Arabidopsis thaliana: one gene and its partners. The main gene of each other region encodes a partner of the protein of the gene in region 4 in a complex. Each region holds a gene or a part of one and is shown on either strand. Other genes may lie near its edges.

The links.
Region 1: LSM8 (region 4) and emb1644 share a complex: the UniProt entries of both Arabidopsis thaliana proteins name them as parts of the heptameric LSM2-LSM8 complex.
Region 2: LSM8 (region 4) and LSM6B share a complex: the UniProt entries of both Arabidopsis thaliana proteins name them as parts of the heptameric LSM2-LSM8 complex.
Region 3: LSM8 (region 4) and LSM6A share a complex: the UniProt entries of both Arabidopsis thaliana proteins name them as parts of the heptameric LSM2-LSM8 complex.

The regions. Positions count from the first base shown.
Region 1 is NC_003076.8:9,812,559-9,820,495, reverse strand, and holds emb1644 (Small nuclear ribonucleoprotein family protein), read right to left. Parts: upstream 4,997-7,937; 5' UTR 4,751-4,996; intron 4,630-4,750; 5' UTR 4,593-4,629; coding exon 4,590-4,592; intron 4,492-4,589; coding exon 4,450-4,491; intron 4,318-4,449; coding exon 4,219-4,317; intron 4,114-4,218; coding exon 4,036-4,113; intron 3,967-4,035; exon of another isoform or gene 3,829-3,966; intron 3,609-3,828; coding exon 3,572-3,608; intron 3,441-3,571; coding exon 3,333-3,440; intron 3,215-3,332; coding exon 3,192-3,214; 3' UTR 2,878-3,191; downstream 1-2,877. Other genes in the region: AT5G27730 (heparan-alpha-glucosaminide N-acetyltransferase-like protein (DUF1624)), read right to left, coding at 39-185; AT5G27710 (T-box protein), read right to left, coding at 5,478-5,560, 5,703-5,795, 5,941-6,036, 6,154-6,224, 6,615-6,757, 6,832-6,909, 6,984-7,427. UniProt on the Arabidopsis thaliana protein: Component of LSM protein complexes, which are involved in RNA processing. Component of the cytoplasmic LSM1-LSM7 complex which is involved in mRNA degradation by promoting decapping and leading to accurate 5'-3' mRNA decay.
Region 2 is NC_003071.7:18,146,201-18,154,075, forward strand, and holds LSM6B (Small nuclear ribonucleoprotein family protein), read left to right. Parts: upstream 1-2,996; 5' UTR 2,997-3,175; exon of another isoform or gene 3,176-3,374; intron 3,375-3,499; 5' UTR 3,500-3,524; coding exon 3,525-3,639; intron 3,640-4,423; coding exon 4,424-4,537; intron 4,538-4,632; coding exon 4,633-4,679; 3' UTR 4,680-5,095; downstream 5,096-7,875. Other genes in the region: AT2G43800 (Actin-binding FH2 (formin homology 2) family protein), read left to right, coding at 1-944, 1,029-1,216, 1,368-1,621, 1,703-2,521; UGT74F2 (UDP-glucosyltransferase 74F2), read left to right, coding at 6,079-6,702, 6,790-7,515. UniProt on the Arabidopsis thaliana protein: Component of LSM protein complexes, which are involved in RNA processing. Component of the cytoplasmic LSM1-LSM7 complex which is involved in mRNA degradation by promoting decapping and leading to accurate 5'-3' mRNA decay.
Region 3 is NC_003074.8:22,092,469-22,099,804, forward strand, and holds LSM6A (Small nuclear ribonucleoprotein family protein), read left to right. Parts: upstream 1-4,000; 5' UTR 4,001-4,128; exon of another isoform or gene 4,129-4,347; 5' UTR 4,348-4,372; coding exon 4,373-4,487; intron 4,488-4,952; coding exon 4,953-5,066; intron 5,067-5,151; coding exon 5,152-5,198; 3' UTR 5,199-5,498; downstream 5,499-7,336. Other genes in the region: MPK10 (MAP kinase 10), read left to right, coding at 1-203, 476-605, 696-833, 917-1,249, 1,342-1,522, 1,597-1,772; AT3G59800 (stress response protein), read right to left, coding at 2,129-2,317, 2,411-2,457, 2,549-2,684, 3,115-3,216, 3,620-3,706; LETM1 (LETM1-like protein), read right to left, coding at 5,821-5,924, 6,008-6,123, 6,205-6,287, 6,375-6,521, 6,595-6,642, 6,737-6,931, 7,040-7,214, 7,301-7,336. UniProt on the Arabidopsis thaliana protein: Component of LSM protein complexes, which are involved in RNA processing. Component of the cytoplasmic LSM1-LSM7 complex which is involved in mRNA degradation by promoting decapping and leading to accurate 5'-3' mRNA decay.
Region 4 is NC_003070.9:24,432,230-24,440,376, forward strand, and holds LSM8 (Small nuclear ribonucleoprotein family protein), read right to left. Parts: upstream 4,066-8,147; 5' UTR 4,013-4,065; exon of another isoform or gene 3,944-4,012; intron 3,666-3,943; 5' UTR 3,642-3,665; coding exon 3,605-3,641; intron 3,510-3,604; coding exon 3,469-3,509; intron 3,376-3,468; coding exon 3,301-3,375; intron 2,958-3,300; coding exon 2,881-2,957; intron 2,600-2,880; coding exon 2,548-2,599; intron 2,469-2,547; coding exon 2,416-2,468; intron 2,325-2,415; coding exon 2,234-2,324; 3' UTR 1,974-2,233; downstream 1-1,973. Other genes in the region: AT1G65690 (Late embryogenesis abundant (LEA) hydroxyproline-rich glycoprotein family), read right to left, coding at 207-669; AT1G65710 (serine/arginine repetitive matrix-like protein), read right to left, coding at 4,828-6,195. UniProt on the Arabidopsis thaliana protein: Component of the nuclear LSM2-LSM8 complex which is involved splicing nuclear mRNAs. LSM2-LSM8 binds directly to the U6 small nuclear RNAs (snRNAs).

The DNA of each region.
Region 1 (7,937 bases), on a different chromosome or scaffold from region 4:
CGCACAAGTAGAGAGAGAGAGAAGAAAGAGATACGTACGGCGACAGTGAGGCCGCGGAATATGTCGAGAGAAGCAAGTCTTGGTCTGTTTCCGGCGAGGCTCCTCCGTGTATAAGAAGAAGAAGTATCTTCTTTAGGTTCAAGGAGATGTTGATCGTGACTCCTCTCCACTTTGATTTCCGCCATTTTACTATCAATTCTTTGGAAGCTGACTCTCTCTTCTTCTTCTACTTCGAGAAGAACACACCATTCGTTTGCTTATGCTTAAATTGTAGTGGATTTTTCTTTTTCTGTATTTTCTTTTGTTTTTACCTCCACGAAGAAAAAATTCTTTTTTTTTTTTAATCGAAGTAAATTTCATTAACCACCAAAGGGGTATAAGGCGTAAAAGCCTACAACGATTATGCTGAAATAAAAGAAAGGTCCAACAACAGATCCACCAGATTAATATCAACAGCCAAAAGATCTTCAACATTTGACTCTATCCAAAGACACGTGTTGACATGAGATTATAACTACAGCACATGTAAATGAGTCATCGGAAGTGTACGGACATCAGCCTCCACCGTCGACGAGCACCAAATCCGGTGGAGGAAAACATCGCCGAATAAAACGTACGAATAATCTTTGTTTACCACCAGAATAGATATGGATGGAGCTCCCAAAGAAATAGACGGCTTAAGAGAATCCTAATAAGCATCGGATTATCCTTCAATCTTTCAAACCCAGATGTAATCGTTTGAACGATTTCTTGCAAATCGAGGTTTCTAAAACCAAAAGCCAGAGACATTAATTTTAAATAGCTAGCACTTAAAACTAATTACCAACTCAGATTTTTAGAAATTATTGAAAGAAAACATGGAAAAGAAGTAAAGCAATCGATAATAATCCGATTGACTGGAAAAAAGATAAAAACCAGTCAACACCACTTATGGAAGCTGGATTTGCTCGACATAAAACCGGTTATCTCCACTATTGAAGCTGAAAGATACCGGGCAAGAGCCCGAGTCACTCGGGACGGCTTCACCGGAAATTTTCCACTCGGCAAAGATTATATTTTTTTTCTCTGAAAGTTCGATTGAGAGAAGAGAGAGAAAGATTTAAAAAAAAATGGTTTGTGTTACTGTTGTACGCGATGGAGAGAGAGAGATGATGAAGGAAGCAGATGAAAGATAAAATAAATTCTTAACGTAATTGTTTAATAAATATTGGGTTTTTACACAAGATGACCAAAGAAGACCCGTTAATTAACTGACATATTTTCGACATTGTTTATATGGTTTTTGTACACAAAATATGACCTATAAGCCCCTACACAGTCTATCCAGTCTAAAGTAATATATAAGATACACAGTAACGTGTGTCAGAGACGAGAGACATAATATCTCTCATATAGATTCGATTCAACTTAACTCTGTTTTTCTTTTTTCCGATATTCAGTTCCAGTCTCCGTTCAAAGCTCTGTGGTTCTGGTCGATAAATCCAAATAAGTTTCGCGAATTACCGGCAGTTTCTCTCAATCGTTTAAAGATCTAGTTCTAAATCGATTAGGGTGTGGGTTTGCGGTAGAGGAAAAAAATGGTTCTGAAATGATGGGGTGAGAAGAATACGGCGGAGATGTGGTGGTTGAAGATTACGCAATGGTAGTTTTTGTTCAGATTCAAATTGGTTAACAATTAAATTACCTAGTTAACTAAAACTTTATCTAGAGGTAGTGATAATAATAATGTTATTGGATGAAATTCATATTTTGTACGTTATAGTAACTCGTTAATTTTTTATTATGATATAATAAATGAGTTAAGATGGTAAATATCTATATATATCACATCAATTATAACTTATCGCGATACAAAATGACTTACCATGACATAATTATAAACTTATTGATATAAATATTTGTTATCATGTTAACCTAATAAATATTACCGAGATATTTGTTATCATGTTATCCTGATAATACGTTATCTGCTAACTATTCTGATGCATGAATTTTTTTATAGAGATTTTGAGCATTAAATGCTTTGATTTTATGTCAGAGATTGTGTCGGGATAGGGTTATTATCGTCATTATTTCGTGTGTCAGAAGAGAGAGATTTGATTATGAGATTTTCGTTCGCAAATCTTTAATTATATCATCTTCTATGATTTTATTTTTTGTTTACCCATAAATATTTAAGTTTACATTGAGAAAAATAAAATAAATGACCAAAATACTCATATTCTCATGCAAATTCCATTACTACTAGTTTTTTCTAGGGATTTACTCAGATAATAATTAGGTTGTTATTACTAGATAGCCAAATTCTGAGATTAAATAAAGATATTAATCATAAGTTTAGTTTTTGTTAGAAAAGAACTATGGATTCACACGTTAGACGGTGTATATTGACGAAAATATCTTTATCAATTTCTAATATTACAATAAGACTTCCGATAGATTTGAGAAGAGGAAAATTCAATTGTAAAAATACAGTGAAGAAAAATATGTAATTTTCATGATATTTGAAGAAATACATATGACTCCTTACATAACGTGAAATATTGACAGATATGTATAATTATTACATTAAAACATAGTTATTTTATGAAATACTAATGATATATTGGATAAAAGACATGTAATTTGTTTATATAACATGAAATCTTGACAAAAATATGAATCTGTTCCAAAAAAAAAATATGAGATTTTGTTAGATAGCTTGACAAAAATTTACAAGTCAATGTAAAGACTTAAGAGCATGTTTTGTCTTTGAAATACATGCGTTTTTTAAATCATATCTAATCTTATATGTCATGCCGACGAGTGATGGAGAAAATCCGGTGAAAGAGGAAAAAAAGAATAGATAGGAAAAAAAGAAAAATAATAAAAGGGTAAGATGGACCAAAGATCTTATAAAAACCCTGTCGTTGGTTAATTGTATAAATTCTCTAACAATTATATAAATTCAAGACCTGAAAGATTCATTTTTAAGCGCAAATGAAAACAATTGGAATTTCACATATACCACAAAAAGGCAAAAGACAAATTTCATTTTTCGAAAAGATCACAAGGAGAATCGAAAAACACACTCCCTATCCCTTACATACTTAATAGAAAACCAACAACAGACCAACTTCTTATGTAACTTTTGGTTTTCTCCACAATGGGAAGTTAGCAGATTTGGCAGCGAGTCTTTAAAACTTGTTGCATCAACCACGGCCGCGACCTGCTCCTGTTTTTCATAACATATTAGAGTTTTAGCTTAAATCCCATTGTGGCAAGACACAGATATTTGAAGTATTCTAGTAAAATCAGAGTTTTGTGACAAGCTTTGTTTGTGTATTTTTTACCTCTGTTGCCACCCATCTTCCCCATTGAAGTTCCTCTGCCTCTGCCTCTGGCTCCTCCATCATCCACACCACGTCCTCTTCCACGTCCAACACCTGGTGGTTTTCTATCTGCACATATTCAACCATCGTTATTAACACCTGAAGTATTCTCAATGTCTACTCTGGCAAAATATTAACACCTCAGAAAACTCGAAGCATATCTCAGTAAAGGTACAATATAGACATGAGTAATACTATACCTGTGCGTGTCTTCTCCTCCTGTACTTTATCAATCACCTGAAGAGAGAAGAAATCAATTTAAGTCAGTTAACTCAATCTAGGTTGCAGCAGTAAGAACATAAATAGAAACAGCATATGACTGTCCTTCTAGATGAAGATATCGTTTATGGTATGTGAATATAATTTGATTTTAGAGGGAATGAAATAAAGTAGAAACAATAGAGAAAAATCGCATCAGAAACACAACACAGCAAAGTCCATAAAAGTGGGTCAACATTCTGGTCAGCAATAACCATTCCCTGTGATATCGTCTAAGACGCACTACAACAAGAGGCACACCATCTGCTGAACAAGGTTCCACAGAAAAATGCCTCTTGGAGCACATATCTGATTTGGCTAAGCATCATCATTCCAGAGAGAGGGGAACAAAGAAAAAACTAGATCAAGCAAGAGATATATACACACACACACAAAAAAAAATTACCTCATCCGGAACTCGAAGGTACTTGATTGTGTTACCACGGATATAACATTCCGGCATCCTCCAAAATCTATCTCCGTCCTAGAGTAATCAAGCAGCAAAATATATGAGTGTCAGCTACACAAAATTTCATCACGAAGTCTAAACAAAGTATATTTGTATCAACATATGAAAACATAAGATAACCTTTGATGTACATATGACTTCACGCAGATGGATGTTCATCCAAGTATCACAATTCACCAAATGCCCATTGTATGTCTCTCCATTCTTAAGCTCCACGAGCTACCAAAACAAAACAAGATTCAAAATTACAGTAAAAGGAAGTTCCTTTAGATCCCTAATGCAATGCTCACTTAAACTCAGCTTCACTTCATATATAACAAAATTGTAATCAAGGGTCGAAATTTTACTCACCATAGGATGCCCTTGAGCAGTTTTAAGCAGCGATAGAGGAAGCTATAAAATCAAAACAACAGCTTTCAGTTAATAAAAATTGAAACTTTAACGCAAACAAGAAAGAAGGAAAAAAACCCTAAGTTTGTCTAGTAACTTACCATCTTCTTAAATCAGAAGATTTAGAGATCCGTTAAGAACCTGATGACATCAGAGAAGTATAACATTAAACCCTTTATAAGATGCGGAAGAAGCAATAGCGAAAACGGAACAAAAACCCTAATTCAGCTACTAAAAAAAATCTGAGAGAAAAGGGAGAAACCTTGTAATATACTCCGAAGATCGGCAAGAAGGTGAACGATTCAAATATGAAAGAGATCGAAGAATAGAGAGGCGTCGAAACTTCGAAATCTGTTTTTTGCTTTTTTCTGCTTCTCGGGTTTTGACAGTGAGAGGGATGGATTTCTAATGAATCGGTGGTCTTTTAGTTTTAGGTCAATGGGAACTTTTTTGAGTTTTGCACTCGAGTCCCTTAACTTTATAATATTATCTGTTTTAGTATATATTGTTAAACATATCAATCTAGCCAACTAATCCGATGTCGTCCAGCGGTTAGGATATCTGGCTTTCACCCAGGAGACCCGGGTTCGATTCCCGGCATCGGAGCTTTTTGTTTTAATTTTTCGTATACTTTGTCTACACCAAAGTGTATTTGTAGCCGTTGGCAATGGTTACCTGGTGGAAAATAACTAATCATTAATATGTTATTGATGCTCTCGAAATTAATTAATTTACATCACTAAGGCGAACTGTGTGAATCAAACAAAGCCAAGTGATATGTCAAATCTAATCCTAAACTTTTACAATTAAGCTTAAAGCCTCAGCAATGTGATTGTTAAAGCTATTTTGTAACCGACAATACTTCAGACCTCTCTAAATTATCAACCAACTCGAACGTTATTGAACCTCGACCAGCTCCAGTAACTAAATCTTAATCAAAGTTTCAATTACACACAACTGTGTAATTGTGAATCTGTAACTGGTTTGTTTCAGCACATGAAAAGCTGATAGTCAGGTTCGTGAGCTCCGACATTCAAGTAATTGACATCAACTGCGGTTGTTCCCAAATCATCTGGTGGAGAAGGATAAGACATAAAGTTTCAATAGAGCATAAATCTTTAAGAGACTTTGAGTGTATGTATGTGTAATCAAATGTGATCTACAATGAAGCAAATTGATGAGTGAGATGAGAGAAGGTATAGAGTTGTTCAAACCTTCGTATATTGTTCTTACAAACTTAACATAGTCAGGGATGAGATCTCGGTATATGATTCCATCCGGATGCGCATCAAGAACCACAAGTACACCTACAGATCAATCAAAGGAAAGGAAGATGTCAAACGTAACACTACAATTGTTTTCCACGATACTAATGAAAGACAAGATCATCTTGAAACTATGAAGTGTTTAGATCTTTTCTATTACTCTCAGAGATGAAAACAGATATTATACCTGGAGCAACCCAATCTGGAGAAGAGTTGCTAGGTAATGGTGCAAGCCAAAGGATATTCCTCAAGTTCATTGAATCATTGTATTTCACGTCAGATCCTAACAAAAAGGAGATACAATCATAATACTGAAGATTTAAGGGATTTCTGTGACCATTTCTATGTTTCAAGAGATTGCAAGAAAACTCACAGTCACACGGACAAGAACCCATATTACCTCTCTGGCAATATCCCATGTTGTAAGGAAACACTTTCTTGTCATAGGCTGGATACTCTTTAGCATGAAACCTACCATCACCAATCAGATACTAGTCAACAACAGTACTCAAAACCTAGCTCAACCATGTAACTTTCTATAAATATTCCCCAAAACTCATTACTTACGTTCAACCTTTCTAAAAACACTGCAACAATTGTGTTAAGAATCAGAAACCATTCTTCCTTTATTGATAACTGTTGGTTACATTCAAGAACACAAGAACAAACCCTAGAGAGTTCTCTTCACTCTCAAAGCCTAAATGCTCCCAATTAACCAAATGGTCTAGACCCCCTTATATCTACTATTCTAGTGCCTATCAAAGCGTCTCGATTCTTACACAACGAAGTCAGTAACAGAACATGATCATCATTACTATTTCAAGAGTCCTAGTGTGTGTTGAGGAGACAAAGGAGACTTACAATATTCCAAGGCGTCCAGATTCTGAGGCAAGGAATAAATGGCCATGGAACAAATCATATCTACTCAATGAAACATTCAATCCAACACTAGGTCCCCTAGATTCAATTAGATGAAACAAGAACTCGAAATATGAGTTCACTTCCTGTTCATTAACATCATCAATCAGATCACTACACCATAAGATCAAACAGTTCACAAAATAGCTTCTTTTTTTACCTCTGCTATAAAATGACGACCATAAGGAGTTCTAGTAAGTTGACATTTATCTTTTCTTGATCGTTCAACATCAGGAACCTATAAAACCAAATTTTAACCAATTCAATCTAACGAACAATAAACCAAATCAAACCATTAAATTGAAGACGAACCGGGATCATTTTCGGATTGAGAGTTCGCTGAATTGAACCGGGATCACCACCGGAGTCAACAGCGAGACGAGCAAGCTCTAGAACCGATTCCGGTGGCCACCAGATTAGAGAATTCTCCTCTTCAAACTTGCTCCGTCTCTCAACGGCGTCAATTTTTCCGGAACAGAGTCCAGTACGAGGCGAGCATCGTCCAAATTCGGGTTTAGGTTTATCCGATTTGAATGGGACGAGGAATTTAAGACACGATTTGATCTCTCGAGAGACGATTGGGTTGAGGCACGACGCGGCGGAGGGAGGTCCGAGAACGGAGAGTAGATCGTCGCCGGTGGCTTTCGGAAATGACGACGGAGAATGAGAAGCGGAGTGGAGTTTGAAGGATGAAGCTGCTGCGATGGAGAAGGAGATGAAAATGGTGAAACGAAGAGGAACGTACGAATTCACCATTGTCGTGTCCTTCCTCTGAATTTTTGGTGAATCCACATTATCTTTGTAGAAATTGGAGAATGGAGAAGAGAGACTGTAGAGTCACGTAAACTCCATTGGAGAATTATTAGAAGTGTTTAATTAACGAAGCCATTAATTAGCGACAACGACAAACATTGTGGCACACAATTTGTGGGCAACCTTAAAACCCATTAAGAAGCCCGTTAAGAAATAGTTGGGCCACTTCCATCAAACGACGATCTTGATCATCCATCAATTTTAACATCCCACATCACTTATACATTGCCATTTCACAAATCACAATATTCAATTTTGTTTCTATGGACTTTATGGTTTATGTGGAAAGCATGGAATGATAAAGTGTTTAAGAGACTCTACGAGGAACCCACTAATATTATAAATTATGCTCAAAGTTAACAATTATAAAGGGAGGAGACACAATTAGAGGCTCTTGAGGAAACAAAATGACTCCACAACCTCATAACTTATGTTCTTGAACATTGGATGTCA
Region 2 (7,875 bases), on a different chromosome or scaffold from region 4:
ATCTCCGCCGCTGCTCTCCTCTCTCTATTCGCCGTCTTCATCATCTTCATCCGCCGAACTCGCCACCGCCGCCGCTCCTCCCCTGCAGACGACACCAAATCCACGAGATCAGACGCTCTTCAGCTCTTCAACGCCTCTCCTTCCGACGGCTCTAAGAAACAGAAACAACATCAACAACCACCAAAGTACACTTCCTCACACACTTCCTCTGAGTTTCTCTACTTAGGTACTTTAGTAAACTCTCGAAGCAATGGTTTAGAGCAGCAAAAGTCTCCAATCTCCCTCTCTGGCGGTATCACCGGCGTATTGGAATTACCTCCTCCAGCTTCGTCGTCTTCTTCTTCTTCTTACTCACAGTACCATAAGCTAGGCTCGCCAGAGCTTCGTCCTCTTCCCCCTTTACCAAAGCTCCAATCTTTCACTCCCGTTTACAAAAGCACTGAACAGTTAAACCCTAAAAGACAAGACTTTGACGGAGACGATAACGAAAACGATGAGTTTTTCTCTCCGAGAGGATCTTCAGGGCGTAAACAGAGCCCGACCCGTGTCTCTGATGTTGATCAGATTGACAACAGGAGTATCAACGGCTCAGGCTCGAACTCGTGTTCGCCGACTAATTTTGCGCCGTCGTTGAATGCTTCTCCGGGAACAAGTTTGAAACCTAAGTCAATTAGTCCTCCTGTCTCGCTGCACAGTCAGATAAGCTCAAACAACGGCATTCCGAAGCGGCTTTGTCCAGCGAGGCCACCTCCACCACCTCCTCCGCCGCCACAGGTCTCGGAGGTTCCGGCTACTATGTCGCATTCCCTTCCTGGTGATGATTCTGACCCAGAGAAGAAAGTGGAGACCATGAAACCAAAGTTGAAGACTTTACATTGGGATAAAGTTAGAGCAAGCTCGAGCCGTGTTATGGTGTGGGACCAAATCAAATCAAACTCCTTTCAGTAAGACATAACGAATCTGAATTAAAGACTTGATCTATCCTTTTGCATACACGACTAAGATATGATTCTTTTGTGTTTTTGCAGAGTGAATGAAGAAATGATAGAGACATTGTTCAAGGTGAATGATCCAACTTCGAGAACAAGAGATGGCGTTGTTCAATCCGTGAGTCAGGAGAATCGGTTTCTTGATCCAAGAAAGTCACACAACATTGCTATTTTGTTGAGAGCTCTTAATGTAACTGCTGATGAAGTATGTGAAGCTCTTATAGAAGGTGAGTAATTTCCAATCTGTTGTTGCTTAGGTTACTCGCACTTACTGCAACATTGCATTGGTTTGATGATTCCTCAAATTGGTCTGTGATTATTGAAGCTTGACTTGTTTGACTTAGTTGATGTCTAATCACTTTCTTGTTCATGAATCAGGTAACTCGGATACGCTTGGACCCGAGCTTCTCGAATGCTTGCTTAAGATGGCTCCTACTAAAGAAGAAGAGGACAAGCTTAAGGAGCTTAAAGATGATGATGATGGATCTCCTTCCAAGATAGGACCTGCAGAGAAATTCCTCAAAGCATTGTTGAACATTCCTTTCGCCTTCAAGAGGATTGATGCAATGCTTTACATTGTCAAGTTCGAATCAGAAATCGAGTACCTTAACAGATCCTTCGACACTCTCGAGGTAAAACTCTACTTGTCCACCTCATAAGTGTATGTCTGCTGATCAAACAGATCATTCATATGCATTTGATCAAACTCTCAGGCTGCTACTGGTGAGTTAAAGAACACGCGGATGTTCTTGAAGCTTTTAGAAGCCGTGCTCAAGACTGGGAACCGGATGAATATAGGAACCAATAGAGGGGACGCACATGCTTTCAAGCTCGACACGCTCTTAAAACTGGTAGATATCAAAGGCGCGGATGGGAAAACCACCTTATTGCATTTTGTGGTTCAAGAGATCATAAAATTTGAAGGAGCTCGGGTTCCTTTTACTCCGAGTCAAAGCCATATAGGCGATAACATGGCCGAGCAATCCGCATTCCAAGATGACCTAGAGCTCAAGAAACTCGGGTTGCAAGTCGTTTCAGGTCTCAGCTCTCAGCTGATTAACGTCAAGAAAGCAGCGGCAATGGATTCAAATTCCCTCATCAACGAAACAGCGGAAATCGCCAGAGGAATAGCGAAAGTCAAGGAAGTAATCACGGAGCTAAAGCAAGAAACAGGTGTAGAGAGATTCTTGGAGTCAATGAACTCGTTCTTGAACAAAGGTGAGAAAGAGATCACAGAGTTACAATCTCATGGAGACAATGTCATGAAGATGGTTAAAGAAGTAACAGAGTATTTCCACGGGAACTCGGAAACTCATCCTTTTCGCATTTTCGCTGTGGTCAGAGACTTTCTGACGATTCTTGATCAAGTGTGTAAAGAAGTTGGACGCGTAAACGAGAGAACGGTGTATGGATCCATGCCACTACATTCGCCATCGAACCAGACCGCCACGCCTCTGTTTCCGGTGGTTATCAATAACAACTCACGGCTAAGTCCATCGGGTTCTCTAGACGACGACGATGGCTCGTTCTAAGTGAAAACTGTTGGCTCGGGTTTGGTTCGGTGTATGCTAATGTTTTGGTTTCATTTGCTACGTACTCAAGTAATATATGTGTTATACATATTTATATTTTTATTGATAGGCGAATTTAAATAGATTTTGGCAGATTGTTGCAAGTTGCTATCATCGGGCTCTGTACGTGTTCCAGTCCTCTGTTGAATTATTTATGTCACGTGTAGATGTATTTATTGATCTAAACCTAAAACGATAGAAGAACTAAAGTCTTGTGAAAAGTTAAATTATTGCAAGCTATACTATTTACAAAATGTAAAAAAAGAAACTGAAATTATTCTTTTGTTTGGTTCACATTAGGCATTTCCAAATTGCTGATGTCAAACATCTTTGCAAAGTTCTTCTCCCAACGAATTTTGAAAATTCACCATTTTCACGATTAAAATTTTAAAATTGACTAAAAAGTTTTAATCTCGCACATAATTAAACCACAATAAAAAAACTTGGACTTCGGATTGTTTTCCATGTGGGCTGATTCGAATTTGGGCTTGGGCCTTTTTAATTGTAATTTTATTTTTACTTATTTGTAAATGCGTCACATGTCTTCTTCGCTCTGTTCGGCTGCTTCATCGAGCGGAAGTCTCTAGCCAATTACCGTTTGTTCGTGGACTCGAGGTTCGTTGTTCTTAGATTTCCCAGACTCATCTGTTTCTGCAATCCATTTCAAAGTTTCTCTTTTTACTTAATCCAAGTCATTCGCGCATTTCCTAATTGGTCTGAGGTTTAGGGTTTTAGGGCACATAGTTTTGTTTGATTCGGGAGTAATCGTTGAGATGCTACGAGTTTGGTATTCAAGATGATTCCTTTTCTCAAGGTCTTTATGTAATTTGATTGATTTATGGATCTCGAATTGCTGACATGAATTTGTTGCTTAAAGTTGTTGGCTTTGTGGGATATTCTGAGGGGTCTTGTTTGATTTGGATCTAATTTGGTGGGCAGATATTGTGGTTTCTTAGCAAAGAAGATGAGTGGAGTTGGAGAGAAAGCTTCTGGAACAACTAAGACACCTGCTGATTTCTTGAAATCTATCCGTGGTAAACCAGTTGTTGTCAAGCTCAACTCTGGTGTTGATTATCGAGGTCTGTCTCTCTCTCTTTCTGCATTTTGTGTTCTCCTCTAAGATGTATCCAGTTCAAATTCTTTTTTTTTTTGCCTTGTGTGATGATATCTTATAGTTTGCTTCTGATTTTCGGTGGTTATTAAGCTATCGGAAGTCTATGTAAACTTCTTTATCACTTTGGGTTTAGATGTCTCAATGCCTTTCTTTCTCGCCATGTTACTGGAACCTTTGGATGTTGGTTTACAGAATGACTCTTTTCTTTGTCTAAGAACTGCTTGCTTGATTCTCATTTGATTTGAAAGTCCCATCTCTGAAGATTCATTTTTGTTGAGCTTGCTTGTTTTTTCCCTATCTTGTCTCTGTGTTTGAGAAGGAATAATACATTTCGGCTTGAGATATTTGCTTTGGATTTTGAGAAATATAATCTAGATGAGCAGGAAATTAACATACGGCTTTGAAACATATGCTTTTTGGAATTTGAGAGGAATATTAGATTCAGATGATAGCTTTGTGAATTGAGAGAGCTTCTCTCATGAGATAACAGACCCAAATGTGGTTGAATTTGAGATGCATTTACTCTTGCTTCTGATAGAATATGGACTCTCACCTTGCTATGGAGCCTTTATCACCTGAAATTAAGACCTTGGTCTCTTGAACTCTATAATATAACTTACAGGACTAGGAGAACTTCTAGCTTGAATATCTTTCTTTGGTTTATCTACAAAAGTCAGACTTATTCTTTCTTTGGCATATCATGTTGTATCAATCTACATATGACACTTTGTCTCTCTTCTTGTTTGCAGGCATTCTTACTTGTCTTGATGGATATATGAACATCGCAATGGAGCAAACCGAAGAGTATGTAAATGGCCAGCTGAAGAACACATATGGCGACGCTTTTGTCCGTGGCAACAATGGTAAAAACCAAATCACATTCATCATCACTCTTTAAATCGGTTTAGTATGTTTTTTTATATCCAATTCTGAAAAATATGCTCTATGTTGGCCACAGTTCTTTACATCAGCACAACAAAGGGGACATTGTCAGATGGAGCATAGCTCTCTTTCATCACCATGAATGTTCATCTTCTTCTCTACCTCTGGCATATGACAAATGTAGGATTTGTAGCAACCAGAGTTTATCACCACTGCATGAATTCGACATGTCTTTTTCTTCCGCAACTCAGTTTGTGTCTAAATCATCTCCAAAATTCTGAGATATAGCTAGATTTTTATTTGTTATGAAATTTTTTTTAATCACTGTTGGTCTTTGGAGCCTAATTATCGTGTTTTGATGACGCAATCACTGCGTCACAATCTGATGTCATCTTAACAATCATTAATGTATTTTTTTTTTCTTTTCTCGTAATATTCTTAATTATTCTTCGACAGCAAAGGTTTAAAAACTCCTTATTTCAATCATTAATGTATTTATGATTTGATCGAATAACAATAATATAGCTTATTTTGTTCTATTCTATCGTATTTGATTCTTCTTTCGTTTTTTTTTTGTTTGACTTAAGAAACCGATTGTTTATAGTAGTAAACATTTGTTTTTAATGTTGCTCGATTCCAGTGCACATGTCCAGGCTAGACACTTGTCGTTATAAAGGTTGCTTTGGTTCAATATTGATCCACTAGAGATGTTACAACTATTGTTGACATCTGAGATTGTGTGATAAGAAAATATGAAACTGGATTTAGTGAAAGTTACAATATATAATCATACATCATAGATAGGAAATAAGGAAATGTCAGATATACTTGAAGAATACATCAAATAGACAAGGTCCTTTTTCTTATTGTCGACTATTATAGAGCCGTACAGAACCTTTTCACGTCTTTAGTAATTAGTACATTCTCCATTTCGGCTCTCTCTTATTTTTTTTCCATCTCTTTTACTTCTCCAAATAATAACAATAAAAGCTTCGATTTTGTGTGTGTTTGTATTTACATCTTGACATCGATATTCTTTTCATCAATTTTTTACCAAAAATGTAATAAAAACAAAAAAAAACCAACGCTGAACACAGACATGGTTTCTCCATCCGTTTATATTCATCGTTTGTATGTTTACTTAACAACTTATTTCAAAATAGTACATATCATGGTTGTGTTTTTAAAAAAAGTATACAGAACAGAAAAGCACATGGTAGACAAAATAATGAAGCCAAAATTAATACAAAGAAGAAGTTCAACTTGTATTTATTAACACATTTTCTTTCCTTGTCAAAGACATGCAAATTGGTTTTGTTTTCTTATTCCCATTTTTTTTTTATAATAAAAAGAAGAAGAGTAAAACAAAAAAACTATCATTTCTTCTTATCGCAAAACTCTTATCTAAGCAAGAAACCGACAAAACCTATATCTACATATATTCTCATCAACATCTCTTGAGACATATTCATTTTGGTTAAAGCAAAAGATTTTAAGAGAGAAAGGGGGAGAAGTGAGAGAGATGGAGCATAAGAGAGGACATGTATTAGCAGTGCCGTACCCAACGCAAGGACACATCACACCATTCCGCCAATTCTGCAAACGACTTCACTTCAAAGGTCTCAAAACCACTCTCGCTCTCACCACTTTCGTCTTCAACTCCATCAATCCTGACCTATCCGGTCCAATCTCCATAGCCACCATCTCCGATGGCTATGACCATGGGGGTTTCGAGACAGCTGACTCCATCGACGACTACCTCAAAGACTTTAAAACTTCCGGCTCGAAAACCATTGCAGACATCATCCAAAAACACCAGACTAGTGATAACCCCATCACTTGTATCGTCTATGATGCTTTCCTGCCTTGGGCACTTGACGTTGCTAGAGAGTTTGGTTTAGTTGCGACTCCTTTCTTTACGCAGCCTTGTGCTGTTAACTATGTTTATTATCTTTCTTACATAAACAATGGAAGCTTGCAACTTCCCATTGAGGAATTGCCTTTTCTTGAGCTCCAAGATTTGCCTTCTTTCTTCTCTGTTTCTGGCTCTTATCCTGCTTACTTTGAGATGGTGCTTCAACAGTTCATAAATTTCGAAAAAGCTGATTTCGTTCTCGTTAATAGCTTCCAAGAGTTGGAACTGCATGTTAGATCTCTCTCTATCTCTTTCTTACAATTCTTAAACCATCTCTTGTTCTTGTGCATGTACTAACTGCTCTTTTTTTGTTTACAGGAGAATGAATTGTGGTCGAAAGCTTGTCCTGTGTTGACAATTGGTCCAACTATTCCATCAATTTACTTAGACCAACGTATCAAATCAGACACCGGCTATGATCTTAATCTCTTTGAATCGAAAGATGATTCCTTCTGCATTAACTGGCTCGACACAAGGCCACAAGGGTCGGTGGTGTACGTAGCATTCGGAAGCATGGCTCAGCTGACTAATGTGCAGATGGAGGAGCTTGCTTCAGCAGTAAGCAACTTCAGCTTCCTGTGGGTGGTCAGATCTTCAGAGGAGGAAAAACTCCCATCAGGGTTTCTTGAGACAGTGAATAAAGAAAAGAGCTTGGTCTTGAAATGGAGTCCTCAGCTTCAAGTTCTGTCAAACAAAGCCATCGGTTGTTTCTTGACTCACTGTGGCTGGAACTCAACCATGGAGGCTTTGACCTTCGGGGTTCCCATGGTGGCAATGCCCCAATGGACTGATCAACCGATGAACGCAAAGTACATACAAGATGTGTGGAAGGCTGGAGTTCGTGTGAAGACAGAGAAGGAGAGTGGGATTGCCAAGAGAGAGGAGATTGAGTTTAGCATTAAGGAAGTGATGGAAGGAGAGAGGAGCAAAGAGATGAAGAAGAACGTGAAGAAATGGAGAGACTTGGCTGTCAAGTCACTCAATGAAGGAGGTTCTACGGATACTAACATTGATACATTTGTATCAAGGGTTCAGAGCAAATAGGTAACTCACATACAGTAGCAAAGGTCCTTCTATAATATCTTGTTTTGTACGTCTTTCATTCAGCATAATCTTTTGTTGACTTTTCTTATGTTGTATGTTCAAATCCCCATATTGCTTCTTGTTGTATGTTCAAATCCCCATATTGCTTCTTGTTGACAATAATAATAATAAAAACAATGCAACTTTACCACCATTGCGTATTTGGGAACTTAAAGCCCAACATTATTATAGCCAATCTTCTTCCAAAAATATGATTTCTAGACCTTTAGCCTCTTGTAGACTGCAAAAACATATTGTCTCTTAGTGTTGCTCTCTTTTAACTGTTAAGCTACATAAAAAAAGAATTGAAAGATATTGGTG
Region 3 (7,336 bases), on a different chromosome or scaffold from region 4:
GAGACATTGGAAACTCAAGGAGAGGTTACAACCGCTATTTGGCCGTCATCTCAAATCCTCAAGACGACTATCGATATTCCGGGGACTCTCAGCCATGACGGCAGATACATCCAGTACAATCTATTTGGGCATATCTTTGAACTCCCCGCAAAGTATAAGCCACCGATTAGGCCTATTGGCAGAGGTGCTTGTGGCATCGTTTGGTAATATCCTTTTAACAGAATTAATAGTTTCATTTCTTTTCCTAATCATTTTGAGCACTTTAGAATGTAGATGCCATGACCATTTTTGTGTGTAATTTATGGTTTGGGTTGATAAGTTTCATCTTTTTATGAGAAAAGTTCAAATCGTTTCTATCATAGAGATCTCTAAACAGTTATTATACCATTCATGACTTTTATGTTATTCTTGTTACTTTTAAAATTTCCTCACTTGACACATTAGTTTTTACTTTTCTTTTTAACTTTTTTTACAGTTCGGCTGTGGACTCCGAGACCAATGAGAAGGTAGCAATAAAGAAAATAACGCAAGTATTTGATAACACTATCGAAGCAAAGAGAACTCTTCGTGAAATCAAGCTTCTTCGTCACTTCGATCATGAGAATGTTCGTTTGATTTTATAACTATTGTCTCACCTTTTTTCTTTTATTTTGTTATTCATTAAAAGCTAACTATGTAATATCATTTTTCTATAGATTGTTGCAATCAGAGACGTAATCTTGCCTCCTCAGAGAGATTCATTCGAAGATGTTTACATTGTGAATGAATTGATGGAGTTTGACCTTTATCGAACCTTAAAATCAGATCAAGAACTAACCAAAGATCATGGCATGGTGTGTGTTTAGAGTTATTGTTTCTTGAAACTTAAAAATCATTTTGATTAGTGAGCTTGACACAATCTTCAAATTTTTGGCAGTATTTCATGTACCAAATCCTGCGCGGATTAAAGTACATTCATTCAGCCAATGTGCTACACAGAGATCTAAAACCAAGCAATCTCCTCTTGAGTACACAATGTGACTTAAAGATTTGTGATTTCGGGCTCGCTCGTGCAACTCCTGAGAGTAATTTAATGACTGAGTATGTTGTCACAAGATGGTACCGTGCACCTGAGCTTCTGTTGGGCTCTTCTGACTATACCGCAGCAATAGATGTTTGGTCTGTTGGCTGTATTTTCATGGAAATAATGAACCGTGAACCGCTCTTCCCGGGGAAAGATCAAGTTAATCAGCTTCGTTTGCTTCTGGAGGTAGTAAAGTAAAACCCTTTGTTGTGCCAAGATCATATTCGTTTTTTGTGATTCATGATTAGCTTAAAAAGTCTTGGGACATTGTTTTGCAGCTCATTGGCACTCCATCTGAAGAAGAGCTTGGATCGTTGAGTGAATACGCTAAGCGATACATAAGGCAGCTTCCTACGCTTCCTCGCCAATCTTTCACTGAGAAATTCCCGAACGTGCCTCCCTTAGCAATAGACTTGGTGGAGAAGATGCTAACATTTGATCCTAAACAGAGAATCTCAGGTCAGTTTCTGTCTCCATATAGCCTCTTCTGCAGTTTTATTTGGATTCTTATCATCAGTTTTGCCACTTTGCAGTTAAAGAAGCACTTGCTCATCCATACCTTAGCTCGTTTCACGACATTACCGATGAACCAGAGTGCTCAGAGCCCTTCAATTTCGATTTAGATGAACATCCATTCTCTGAGGAGCAGTTTAGAGAGTTAATCTACTGTGAAGCCCTAGCTTTCAACCCTGAAACCAGCAATGATTGAAAAGGACCATATCTTTGATCCTTGTTCTGTTTTTTTCTTTTCCTTCTCTGCTTTTCTTTGAATAATTTCCCTTTTCATTTCCTTTAATTTTTTCATCTCTCAGAAATTTTGTTGTGCTAAGATTTTCTGCTAGATTCCCTTTTGATGTTGTCAAATTTCATTTTTAAGCAAATAAACTGAAAAACCATGATTCTGTGGGCATCATTGCGACTTTCAATCCAACAAATATTAATACATGAGCTATTGTCAAAAATATAACATTGCAACAAGGAAGAAAGCAATCATATCCTACTTTGAGTATTTTGATTGAAGACAATCTTACTCTTTGTAATAGTTCATTTGCAGTTTTGCTTTTGTCAATTCTTCAAATTGCCAAAGAATCTAGAGAGTGGTACAGGGCCATCGGTTTCGTGTTTACTTTTGCTAGAGTGTTTGTCTCTGCTGGACTTGTGCTTCTTCTCCTTCTTTGATCTTTTCGAACTTGATCTTGATCTTCTAGATTCATCTTCATCACTGCTAGATGACGACTCTGAGGACGAATAATGCTGCAAATTCATAACACAACCGATCATGGTTCATGTTAGCATAAGCTAGAAAACCTCACACTATCTGATATAAGCTAAACTTTTAGAAGGCACCTTTCTCTTTTTGCTTTTCTTCTTCTTTGAATCTCTGTCTTTCTTATCTGCGAGGTCATTGAACCATTGGCGACCAGTTAATAACGTCCTCAGAAAGAAGGTTTAGATGTCATGTTAAGTTAAGTGGATTATGTTTACCTTTTCGTGACTTATCACTAGAATAGTTCCTTCCTTTGGAGAGTTTCAACGACCTTTCTGCATCCAGCTGAGCTCTATACTCACGCATCAGTTTATCGGTATCTGCTTCAAGTTCTCCCTTTTTCAATTCTTCTTCCTACACATGTTACACGAAAGAAAGATATAATGTTAAACATTTCCTAATGTTCCATACTCACAATACAGAGAGACTGCTGCAAGTAGTAGTAAAAAACTGATATTGCAGATAATAAAAATGTTTAAAAAATGAGCATGACTAGAGTTACTTGAAAACCGCGAGATAGGGATAGATGTAATGTAGAAGGAAGACACACTCATTTTTATATAAACACACAAAGACTGCGTATCTGTGGCTGAAGATGATAAACAGCAGAGGAAAAGAAAATGATATGTTGGAATAAAGCTTCTAAATTGACGACAATAATAGCAATCTTATGAACACTAAATCATCAATGGTCAATTGATTATCTTCTATGGCATTATAACAAGGAACACCGTTCCATACAACATACAGAAGAACTTAAGTATTAAAAAGGCAAAAAGATTACCTTTTGCTTCTGCTTATACTCTTCCCAGGTAATAGTATGTGTAGTCTTGAGGCTAGCCAAACGAGCCGCATGCCACTCTGGTGTATGAAATGAACCATCCACCTGAGACAATCCTCATCAGAAATGTTCCGGTACCAATGCAAAATATCAAAGTTTGACTAATCCAAATGCTTCTTTGTGTTCACAGCTTACAACAACAATAAAAAGACTCTTGAATCACTGTAACACAAACTCTGATGCTACACTTTTACGAAATCACATTTAAACATGGACTTGATATCGTCTACAAGACCTAGCAGGTATTAGATACAAGTTCTTCCCCCAAAATTGGGACTCATAAAGGATCTCTTGTAGGCTTAATTCTAAATGCAGCTCGATAACCCAACAACACAAAAGATCAACAAAACCATAAGTAAATCAACCAAATTGGAATTTTGTTTGGAGAAGTAAAAAAAAACAGAATCAATTTGCAATGAAGAAGATGAGAGTATGAAAAGGTACAAACCATTCCGTCTTCAACCTCATCCGGCTGGGCGGAGCTGGAACCAACCCTAGATCTCTGCATAGCCTTGTAAGCTTGATTCTTCCCCATAGCTAATAGAAGATTTACCCCACAAGAAACAGTCCGCAAATTCCTTGCAGGAGAAAGAGAATTTAGAGAGATTGAGAGGAATTGTTTGTAAAATCTAGGGTTTGGGGGATTAACGGTCCAAAGGGAGAGGATTTAGGGATCTGTAGAGAAAGCAAACGAGAGAGAGACGAGAACAGAAGAAACTGTGAGGTCGAACCGAAACGCACTGGAGATTTAATTTCACCCTCCAAAGTAAAATAATAAAATCTATAAGGACTAATGTTCAATTATTATTAGTTTTAATATGAAAACTCGATCGAATCGAAATAACAATAATCATATAGTATATAGTTTTGGAAATAAATAATAAAAGCCCTTAGGACCGATTCGTTATTTCTTCGCTCTCTCTTTCTCTCTGTGTCTCGTACTCGAGTAGGTCTCAGGTAAGGAGTTCTTCTTTCAGTTCCTTTAATCCTTGTTAAAGTTTCGATTTCTCTTTACATTTTCAATCGAATTCGCTTCTATTGGGTTGAAGGTTTAGGTTTTTAGGTTTCGGAGTCTTTTTGTGATTCGAGAGATTGACTCTGAATGGTTTTTACCTTTTGAGTTTTTGTAGTTCGAAGAGCGACCAAACTGATTTCAGATCTCAATTGTTTCTGCAGTTACGTAAAGGATCGAGCTTAAAAGATGAGTGGAGTTGAAGAGAAAGTTTCTGGAACGACAAAGACACCTGCAGATTTCCTCAAATCCATCCGTGGGAGACCCGTTGTTGTCAAGCTCAATTCTGGTGTTGATTATCGAGGTGCCTCTCTCTCTCGTTAGATGTTCTTATGTGTTTTGCAAGTTCTCTATCTCTGCTGCACTTTAGGTTAGAAGCTTTGACTTAGGACTAGTTCTTTTGTCTATGTTAAGGGAATTAAAGAGTTGCTTGTATTAAGCCCACTTAAGTAACTTAATTATCATGTTATGTCTTCAGCTTTTAAATGATTCTTTTAAAGTCAATATGTGAAGCTTTTCTTACATTTTCTAAGGTTTCCTTGTGAACATTGTTCAATGGTTTTCTTAAGAACATGTTCCTTTCTGCCTGCAATAAGGTTACAATAGTTGACTGAGATATTTGAATATTTAAGTCAGTTTCTCTCATTATCAAGGCTACTTATATCATTCTTGTTGACTTCTTTCCTTTCGTGCCCGAGTCAGTTTTGTCTATGTTCTGTTCAAGCTTAATGTTGAGTTCTTGATCAAGTTTTTATTACTCTTTTCACAGGCACTCTTACTTGTCTTGATGGATATATGAACATAGCAATGGAGCAGACGGAGGAGTATGTAAACGGGCAGCTCAAGAACAAATATGGTGACGCCTTTATCCGTGGAAACAACGGTAACTAAAATCTCTCACACTCATCCTTCTCTCAATCTTCTTCTTTGTATATCTTTCTTTTTAAGTGTGGTTTCTTTGGATGCAGTTCTTTACATCAGTACAGTAAACATGACTGTAGCAGACGGAGCCTAGGCCCATCATGATCATCAACAACAACAACAGTGGTCATGTTATGGCTGCCATTTTTGTTGTCTTCTTCTACCTCATATTAAAAGAGTAGTAGACATGTACCAAGATTGTCATCCTATGTTCTTCAGTAGATTTTTGGGATACAGACATCACTTTTTTCTTAGTAATATGATACTCTTCCATGTGACCCCAGATAAAGAAGAAAAATTATTAATTTATGGCTTGATACAATCATACAAGCAAACAAAATTGAGTTTGGGTGACCAACAGATCGAAACGAGGAAGATCATTAAAGTTTAGTAATCGAATTATGTCATTTAGGGATCACTGGAAACACACATGTCAAACTAGTATAACCAGTCAATCATCAGATTATCATATTCATAGCCATCGACACATTTGAATCAGGAGTTTCCATTGAAATAAAACGCTCAAGATATCATTCTTGGCGTAATGTTATTTTTAATCTTCAACCTCTTTTCACATTACTAGCAAAAGGTCTCGTATTCTTAGCCGCTTGTATATGTAAGTAGCCTGCTTATGTCTAAGCAGCAAAACATGAAGTAGAGCTTCTCTCAATAAAACTCTCTTCACTAGTATTAAAAAGTCTATGTGTGTCTTAAAATCATAGTATTATTTCCTTCAGCTTGATTCTTCTTCCGTTGCATTTTCTTCTGGCTTGCTTCCCAATCTCCCCAACCTTACAATGTCTTCCACCATAATTCTTCCCTCTGTTGAATAACAGATTTATAAAAAAGATCAACTTCAGGGAGATAAGAGCTCAAGAAGGAGAGGATCGCTCTGTTCTTTACCTTTATCTTTGGAGAGACTACTGATTAGTTGTTGAAGGCCGTCGTTAGCGAGTGTGTCTTTCAGGTACATTGCAGCAGCCGCAACTTCATCAGGTGTGACTTTTCCATCTCGATCTCTGTGTTCATTCAGATGTGATCACTTTAGATTCTAAGTCTCGGAAACAGAACACTCAAACAGAAAAATGGAGTCTATATACCTGTCAAGAAGCTGCCAGCCTTTGCCAATTTTGATATCCACATCATCAATTTCCTTCTCTAGGTTTTGTATCAGACCATCAACCTTAAAAAGTATGACCGAAGAGTAAGCCTCTTAAACAAATCTCATGGGACTTTAATAGTCTTAAAAACCGATTTAAAATCTTCTTACCTTCTCCATTAGTGCAGAGGAAACCTCGTCTGCTTCAGCAACTTCATCAGCTTGGTCAATATCTACTCTAGCTGCTTTGTATGCCTTCATTGCAGCTTTTTCACCATCTACATCTTCTCTCTCGACCATTGTGTTATAGAACTCCACCTGGAGAAACAGAAAAACAAAGTCTTTCAATCTACGACACAAAGTGCTGATCAAGCATTGGTGGACAGCGTACCTCTTTCTTGACCAATCTCAGGAATTCTTCGCGCTCTCTACACACCGACTGTTTATATCAAAAGCAAACAGAGTATCAAATAAATATCCAATAAACTGCTCTGCATACCCATTGTTGATAACCATAGACTCATTTTTCTTACAGAAGCGGAAGCCAAAACGCCCAAGGCGCGGCTAAGTTTGCAAAGATCATCTTGTTGTTCAAGAACTCTAGCTCTGGCCTGTTCTTGTGCTTCGCTGGCTGTTGGTATGGTCATCTCTTGCAGTGCCTTATCCTCGTCACCACCTTTAACATCCTTAATCCTTGTAAGCTCTTCTTCTTCTTTCTCTTCTTCTTCCTGCAAATATAATAAATACAAAATGTAAAATCTGGAGCAACCAAAATTCGGTTTCTCTAACTTCCTCAAGCAAGCATAATCCAATACAGTCAAGTGGTGTATCAAGACCTTGATCAGTTCTTCTTGCATCTCAAGGTACTCTAATTTCCGTCTTCGCTCAGAAACAGGGTCTTCAGATGGCAGAGAAGTAATACCAACAGTATCCACAACCTCGTCAGGTAGAGAAGAAAGAGTAGCTCGGACAGCATCCTCTGCTTTAACTCTTCCAGCAACCGTGAATGCCCTGAATATAAATTGCTCTTAGAAATTTCTTTGCAATAAAACTGATCGAAGAACAAAAAAATGACAGCAAAGAGTACTGGAACCAACCTAGAGAGGATCAATAACGAAGAGGGGACAGAATGA
Region 4 (8,147 bases):
AAAATGAAAGTAAACCCAAAGCCAACCAAAAAAATTTAGACATCCCTAATTTGAAAAGAGTTTTAAAGTCTTCCTTGTGTACGAACCAAACCAAAGGAAAAGAACAGAAATCAACCAAATAAACCGGTTTTGTAGTGAGATTTTGAAGCCTTCCTACGTTAAAAAACCAAAAGAAAGCAAACCGGAGTAAACCAAAAGTGACGTACCATTGCTTAGTTGATGTTCCATGTACCACACGGTAATCTTGCTCCCATCTTCATAATAAATTCCAATCTTCTCGTTCGGATTCTTAGCGGTTATAGTCACGTTAAAAGCCGTAGTCAAACTCGAGTCTTGGTTCAGTGCAAACCGGGTGAGCTGTAACCGGTCAATAGAGTAATCCGGTAGCTTCGGTTTAAAGACAAGGTATAGTATACCAATGGATGCGCCTACTGCAACGACAAGAAGCAAAAGAAAGCAGAACGTGTAGCAAAAGCATCTGCAACAACAACTTCTTCTCTTCTTTGGAGGAGCCAACGGCACGAACCGTTGTGGCCTTTGGTTCAAAGGGACTTTGGATGGGTCTCCATGTTCTGATCTAGAGGAACCACGAGGAACCAAAGGAGCTGTTGGACGCGCTGTTGCGGCTTCTGGATCTTGGACCGGATAGATTTTTTGGTGTTGAGACATTTTTGGAAAATCTTGATGACACCAAGAAGAAGAAGAAGCTTTGTTTGTAGATCTTATTTAGGGGTTTGGGAAATTAATATAAGTAGGGACCTTATGGAGTTTTTAAAGTCAAGAGGGAAGAACTTTTCAATGGAGAGACTTCTCTATATGAACCTATAGATTATGAAAAACAAGTACATTCGCTTCCATACAACACATCACACGTGTAATGTGAATTTGCGTGTCTGCTTAGGTAGCGGTCTTTTATGGAAATTGAGTTTGATGTGAACCCATCAAATAAAAAAAATAAAAATCATTAGTAGGTATCAAATTACTTGCAATATAGATGGAAAAATTAGGATGACTTTTTGGAAAATACATATATTGTAGTCCTATACATTATCAAACAACTAAAAGTTATATCCACTTAAGATATTTTCCAATTACTATTTGTTTCTTTTTATTTCCTATAATTTTTTCTATTTACTCTTTTGCTCTTTCATGTTTACTCTTCTTGATTTATTTATATTTCATATATAAATGGTACTTAATCTACAAAATAAAATTTCATATATTTACGCCTCGCATTGTCTTTGAGAAAATACAAGTTTTTAATATTTAGATCGCATATAGTTTGACTAATAGGTACATTATAAAGTCAAAATACATTTGATGAAGATCTACTTTACTTTTGTTGACCTAATCCCCTAAGACTTATGCAGCAGTGTTCTCATGCATTTCGTCATGAATTTTTTTTCTTTTACTTTTTTGTTAACATGCTTTATTTTATTATTTTTTTTGCAAATAAAATTCCATTCGAAATCCCTAGGCCCCAACGATGTTAATTTATTTGTAGTGTTTCTGTTTAATATTAATCGTTATCAACGAAAAATTTTTAGAACGCAATTCTTTTGTTCTTCATATTAATAACCAAAAATCAAAAGCTTCTGATAACACTTACTATGAAAAATTTCAAGAAATAAATCACTTAATATGAAGAATATTACATTGGAATCGTAAAAGAAGACCCAAGACTCCGATGAAATCAGAAGTGTTTGGTTTTGGCGAGTTATTACCAAAACCAACGACTTGTATGATGCGACTATGGGAGAATGACATATTAAGTTAATATCTATATTGTTGTCTTATAGAAAATGTATGATGCTTCTAAGTTTTAAATACGGCCATTTGTTGATGTTGATAGATTTGATGATGTATATAATCCTTCTAGATGAAATTGCAACGACATTATAATTTGTAAGATACCAGAAACTAATTCCTCTTTTTTTTTTCTTTTGCAATTTGAATATCTATAAAATTTTGGTTAACAATAAAAGTTTTTTTTCTAATCAAAGAATTTGTGGTCTAGTAGCAAACCTAGGTCCGTCCAAAAGATTGTATGATTTAAGTTTCCGACCAAAACGTTTAAGACATAAAATATCATATAGCTTTTGTCCTTAGGATACACAAATAAGACAACTCCAGACATCAAAACAAACTATCCAAATTGTTTACAATCAAATCTTCTCTTTGTTTTTAGGCTTTGAATGAGAGAATTAGATTTTCTCACCATAACTATATTCAATCAATGCACTACGGGTTTCAACGGATGGGCTCTCAGCTTCGAAAAATCCAGACTAGCATCAAGCTCCTCGTCCAGCTCCCCGATAACACCTCTGATCAAAGATGACACCATTTTTTTTATTGAAACAAAAAAACAATTGCAATGTTAGAAAATCACTGATGATGATGGATGATAAGAATTACATGTTGTCCCCTCTGATGATGTACAAACCCAACACATGTTGTTGTACTCCTTCCTGCAAAGATGAAGACATAGTAAGAGGTCTCAATCCTAATTCCAATATCCATCATTTTAACAGAACTCTGCCTTCACACCAAAAATATCCAAGAACATTTGTCTAATGAAGTATCAACATGACCTGACATACTCTTAGTGTAAACAAGAAAACAGACATGAATCAAACCTTTAACCCTCTTACGAAAAAAAGGAGGTGATCATGTATAATTAATTACACACTGCCAATATCTACGTATTTGACTTACCTATCACTAGCTAAATCTTTTGACATATGAACTCACAAGATTTTTTCAATCAGTTATAACACTCGAAGAATACTAACACTAAATCTGTTTCGGTGTATCCAACACTATCTGATTTAGATACTTCCATTCAGAGGCCAGTTAGTTCATGATTCACTATTCTCTTACCAAACAAAGAACTGTAGGACAAGGCCTATCTTAAATATCTGAGTAAGTTTCCTCAATATTCTGTTGAAAAGATGACACTACGCAACTAAATCAAGCAATGTACATTATTAGCAAGAACGTAGTACCAATTAAAAGATCAATACCAGACGACGAAAGATGCTTTGAGTGACAATGAACAAAAGATAAACTAGCATCCTTATAGTACCTCTATTTTTCTAGTTTTATGCGATCACTACAAACAAAATATGGAGACATCGAGAACTCTGCTACATCATAGCCACTCATGGATACAAACCAACAAGGTTTTGCAGGTCATACACTGGCCAATTTACTTGCAGAAAAATGTATTTGCACCCATTCAATTTAGTAACATCGAAAAGTTCAGATGAAAATACTTTAAAACAGGAATCAGAAGCTAACCTTTGTGGAAAACACACGTTCATGAGATTCATCAAGGATTATATTTGTAGCCTGGTCAAAACCTTTAAGAACTCCCTGAAAAAATATAAAAATCGATCTCTTTACTAAGATACTTGCATTGACATAAGGAGTTCTAAACCAGATATCACACAAGAGAGTATAACATACCACAATGTTGCGTCCGTCATTTGTAATCACCGAAATAATCTCTGCAGCAACCAATCAAAAGATAAGATCTTTAGACAATTCATGTGACAGAACATCACATATCAATCGAGAATGGCAAAAAAAAAGACTAACTTACGATCGACGAGAGTCTCAAGTCCAGTAGTTGCCGCCATGTTACAGTTCGGAAATTATTTGAACTGAAAGGTTACTAAAAATTAGACTAGGAATTTCATCGAACACTTGGTGTGCTTACGGATAACAATGAAAAATTAATAGATTTCGTATCCATCTCAACGAGAGATTTCACCAAACTTAACATAAATCCAGAATTACGAGAAACAAATGATAATTCCAGTGTAATTTGACCTAAATTAAAAGAAACCACCGAATAGAAAACGAATGTAAAACAGGTTCTGGTTCACCGGAGGGTTTCAAGGAATTCAGAAGAAGAAACGTATGAGGGAAAAGCTCTAACCTTTGCTGCTTCGGAATCTGAAAATCGTTACTTGGCGGAGATTCTGATTGGTAAAGAAACCCTAAAAACCTTTTCGTCACTGTTGTTCTTAGAAAACTCTCCGGCGTGTGTTTTTGCTTTTGGATGTTGCTTTTAACTACGAAATGTTAAAAGAAATACTCAAACCGAACCGAACATTTTATCCGGTTTAGTTATTTTATCCGAAACCGACAATTCTGAAAATTTTCACCTGAACCGAACTGTTTAATCCACCAAGTATGCATGGTTCGGGGTTCAGATCGGATTCAGTTTAGATTTTTTGGATTCATCCGATACAAAAATTTAGTATATATTTGGGTTCTATGATTATTTGGTTCGGTTTTTGGAAAAAACTACATATTTTTTCAAAATTTTAATAAAAATTGAATTACAAAAAATATATAATTTTGTCATTTAGTTTAGGTATAATACTAAGAATTTTCGGATATTTTGGATATATATAATATATCTAAGATATTTTTGGATATTTTTGTTAATTGGTTAAGGTATAATTATAATTTAAAACATCTAATAATTTTGAATATGTAGATATTGTTTCGATTTTTCAGATATACTGTTTGGTTTTTGTTTCTGTTCGGGTTCAGTTGGGATAATTCGTGTAAAATTATTTAAAAGTCTCTCCGGTTATATGATTATTTGGTTTGGTTTCGGGTCCGATACAGGTTTTTTGGGTTTTATGCCAGACTGAAGATAAGAAGAAGATTCATTGAAATTGTCAAATTGACATCTGAATTACAAAATAAACCAAACAAAGGAAACAACAATAGACAAACAAAACAACAATTTCTCCATATTAAACCGCAACAACACGAGTTTCTGTTATTGCTAAAAGTGAATCTCCCTAGTCACGTAACATTGTTGCTACCAGATGATTCCTCCAACGAACCACCACCTCTCTTCACAGTCACATACTTCTCAAAACTCGGTTCCATAAGATCGGCTTTCTTCACCGTCGATGTGAATCTAAACCGGCTCGAATCAGACCTCAAACAAGTTCTGTTCGTCATAGAGTTAAGATCAGCCACTGCTTCAACAATTGAACAAGCTTTACTAACACACAATGGCAGCGAAATCACGCTATCATCAACACTCTTCCCATGAAAACTCTGAATATCTTTCAACAACAATGCAGTGTAATTGTTATCCTCGTTTGATACCAAATCGAAATCTCGAGATTTCCTCAACGATCTGCTTCTGCTTAACACAACTTGAGGAGCTTTCGTAAGTTCTACAACAGCAACACGACTCGGGCTTGGACCTCTACTTGTTCTTGAATTAGGTTTCACAGATTCTATCATCTTCTTAGTGTTTTGATCAATCTCTCCCAATGGATTTCTTCTATAGGGAGATTGTTCCGCCTTTCTTGAATTACTCCGGCTTAGCGAGGGAACATTATTCCCCGCTCTAGCCGGAGATTTTGACCTCGGAGACGCCGCTATTCTGCAAGCGTCTCCGATGTTTCTCTTAACCGTAATCCGTTTTACTAACGGCTCTACATTGTTACTCTTATCCGTTGCAGGAATCGTAACAAACTTTCCCGGTCTATTATTACTCGAATTTACCGAACTGCCACACGAATCAGCGTTACGAATCTCAGAACGTTTCGCCGGAGATCTACTCACTCTCCTACTACCACCGCCGCCACCGCCGACATTTCCTCTTTCTCTGCTTCCCGATCTTTCTCTTTCTCTACTCGGAGTTCGTCTTCTCCGTTCACGAGGCGAACCATGCACTCTCTCTACTCCACGGTGACGATTTCGCTGCATTCCGTCTTCCTCCGCCGCATCGCCGCCGCGGATTCTCTCGTTCTGGTCAAAATCAAAGCTTCTTTTAGAACCAGAGTATCTTCTTGTTTTAGCAGCAGAGTTGCTTCTACTTAGCTTCCCACATTGTATCAATATAGCATCAACTTCTTCTTTAGTACAGCTAGAGATTCTCACAAGCGGTGTAGAATTCGATTTCTCAGCCGCCACAGGAGAAGAAACTGGAGAATCTTTATCTGATTCTGTCTTCTTGGATCTCTCTTCATGGCTTCTTGTGTGTTTTATCACCACAACTTCTTCTTCTTCTTCTTCTTGATTCAGTTTCTCAGATTTGGGTTTTGCTTCTTCCTCCAAAGGCTCAATCACTGGTTCCATGGGTTTGATTGGATCTGAGGGTTTAACACTAGAGGGAAGAGAAGGGGAAGGTTTCTTGCTGAGACAGCAACCCATTTTGTGACAAAGAATTTTGAAGAACAGAGAGATTTTGAAGTAGAAGTGAGTCAAGAACAAGAGAGTTTTTAGGGGAATGTCTTTTGTGTAAGAAGACAAAAAGATTCAAAACTTCAAACTTTTTTGTTTGGTAATGCGATTTGTGACAGACAAAAGTTCTTTTATTTCAGAAAGTATTCGGATAGGACCCATTACTTTCTAAAATTAAGAAAAGTCGGGTGAAATTGTAAGCTTTGAAGAATAATGGGGTCAAAGTGGAATTAATTTATTTTATTAAAGATAGTAATTTTGAAATTGGAGCCGTTATACACACTGCAGTCAATGTCGTATTATCTCTGACCCTTTTTGCCTTTTTCAAAGCAAAATGGTTCTCTTCAAAAATTCTTTTAATAAGTTTTAGAATTCCAACGGTTATTTGCATGTTTGATGGTTTTGTTTGTTTACCAAAAGAATATGAGGTTACAAATTAGGATATGAAGAAATAAACATCAGTAGTTTCTATTGAAAATAAAATTTCGTTTTATGTATAAATAATTTACTGAGTTTGATTAATGATATTTGTTGTTAATCGAGTGCTTTCATTAATATTAACTCATGTGACCAAACTGAATGGTGATGTGCAAGTTTCTTCATATGTATAGTGGAGGACCCAAAAACAATTTTATTTTATTTTATCAGATAACTAAAATACTGAAAAAGAAACGATAAACAATTTCTTTTGAGGTAGTTTTTTTGAATATATATGTAGTTTTTTAAGAAAAGAGTACCAAGACAATTAGGTTCTTTTGAGGTAGTTTTTTAAGAAAAGAGTATATATGTAGAAAGCAAAATCTTGCACCATTTGTGTTGACAATCGAAAATCGGACCGATTTTGAGACATCTATAGATTCTATTACCAAGACAATTAGGTACTGGATTTTACATACATAAAACAACCTCAAATCAAATAGTAACATAACAAAGGATTGTTACAAGGCAAATAACTACTAGACTAGAGAGAATAAGGCACTTAATTGTTCCTCTGCATCCAAGACATCAACCTTTAAGCTATATACATACACAACGATGACCATTAGCAATAGAAACTAGAGACTCTCAATGCTTTGAAAGCTATGCAAATCAGAAATTAGTATCAATGAGAATCATCCACATATCCTGCGACCTACTTAAAAGGGTCTACCTACTAGGTAGTCAGAAATATAACAAGAAACAGAACAGAAACTAGACACTGCCTAAAGTTCACAATGCTTGAAAGCTATTAAACCACAAAATGGGGCAATAAGAACCATATATACAGATGACCATAAGCAATAGAACCTAGACACTCTCAATGCTCTGAAAGCTATGCAAAACTCAGATTGGGGTCAACCAGAGTCATCCCCATATCCTGCTACCTACTTAAAAAGTCTAGCTACTAGCTAGTCAGTAAGATTACAAGAAACGGAACCGAAACTAGACACTACCTTAAGTATGCAATGCTTGAAAGCTATTAAACAACAAAATGGGGCAATGAGAACCATACACACATATGACCATAAGCAATAGAAAACTAGACACTCCCAATGCTTGAAGGCTGTTCAAAACACAGATTGGTTAACGAGAATCAGACACATATCCTGCGACCTACTTAGGTTCTAGCTAATCAGTGCTTGAAAGAATGAAAGCTATTAAACCACAAAATGGGGCTATGAGAACCATACACATATCCTGCGACCAAGTTAGGTTCTAGCAAGTCAGAAAGAAAACAAGAAACAGACTTCTCGAGTCACGACCTTGGTTCCTTTGATGATCAATCCATTTAAGTATTAAGCTCCTAAACTAGTCACATTGGTATCAAAGATAATGAATAAATCCATAGGTAACATCATAATCACACTTATATATATCTAAGAAACATCAACTACAAATCGTAAAAACACTGATACTTAGAGTATAGTAAGTTTAGATAAATC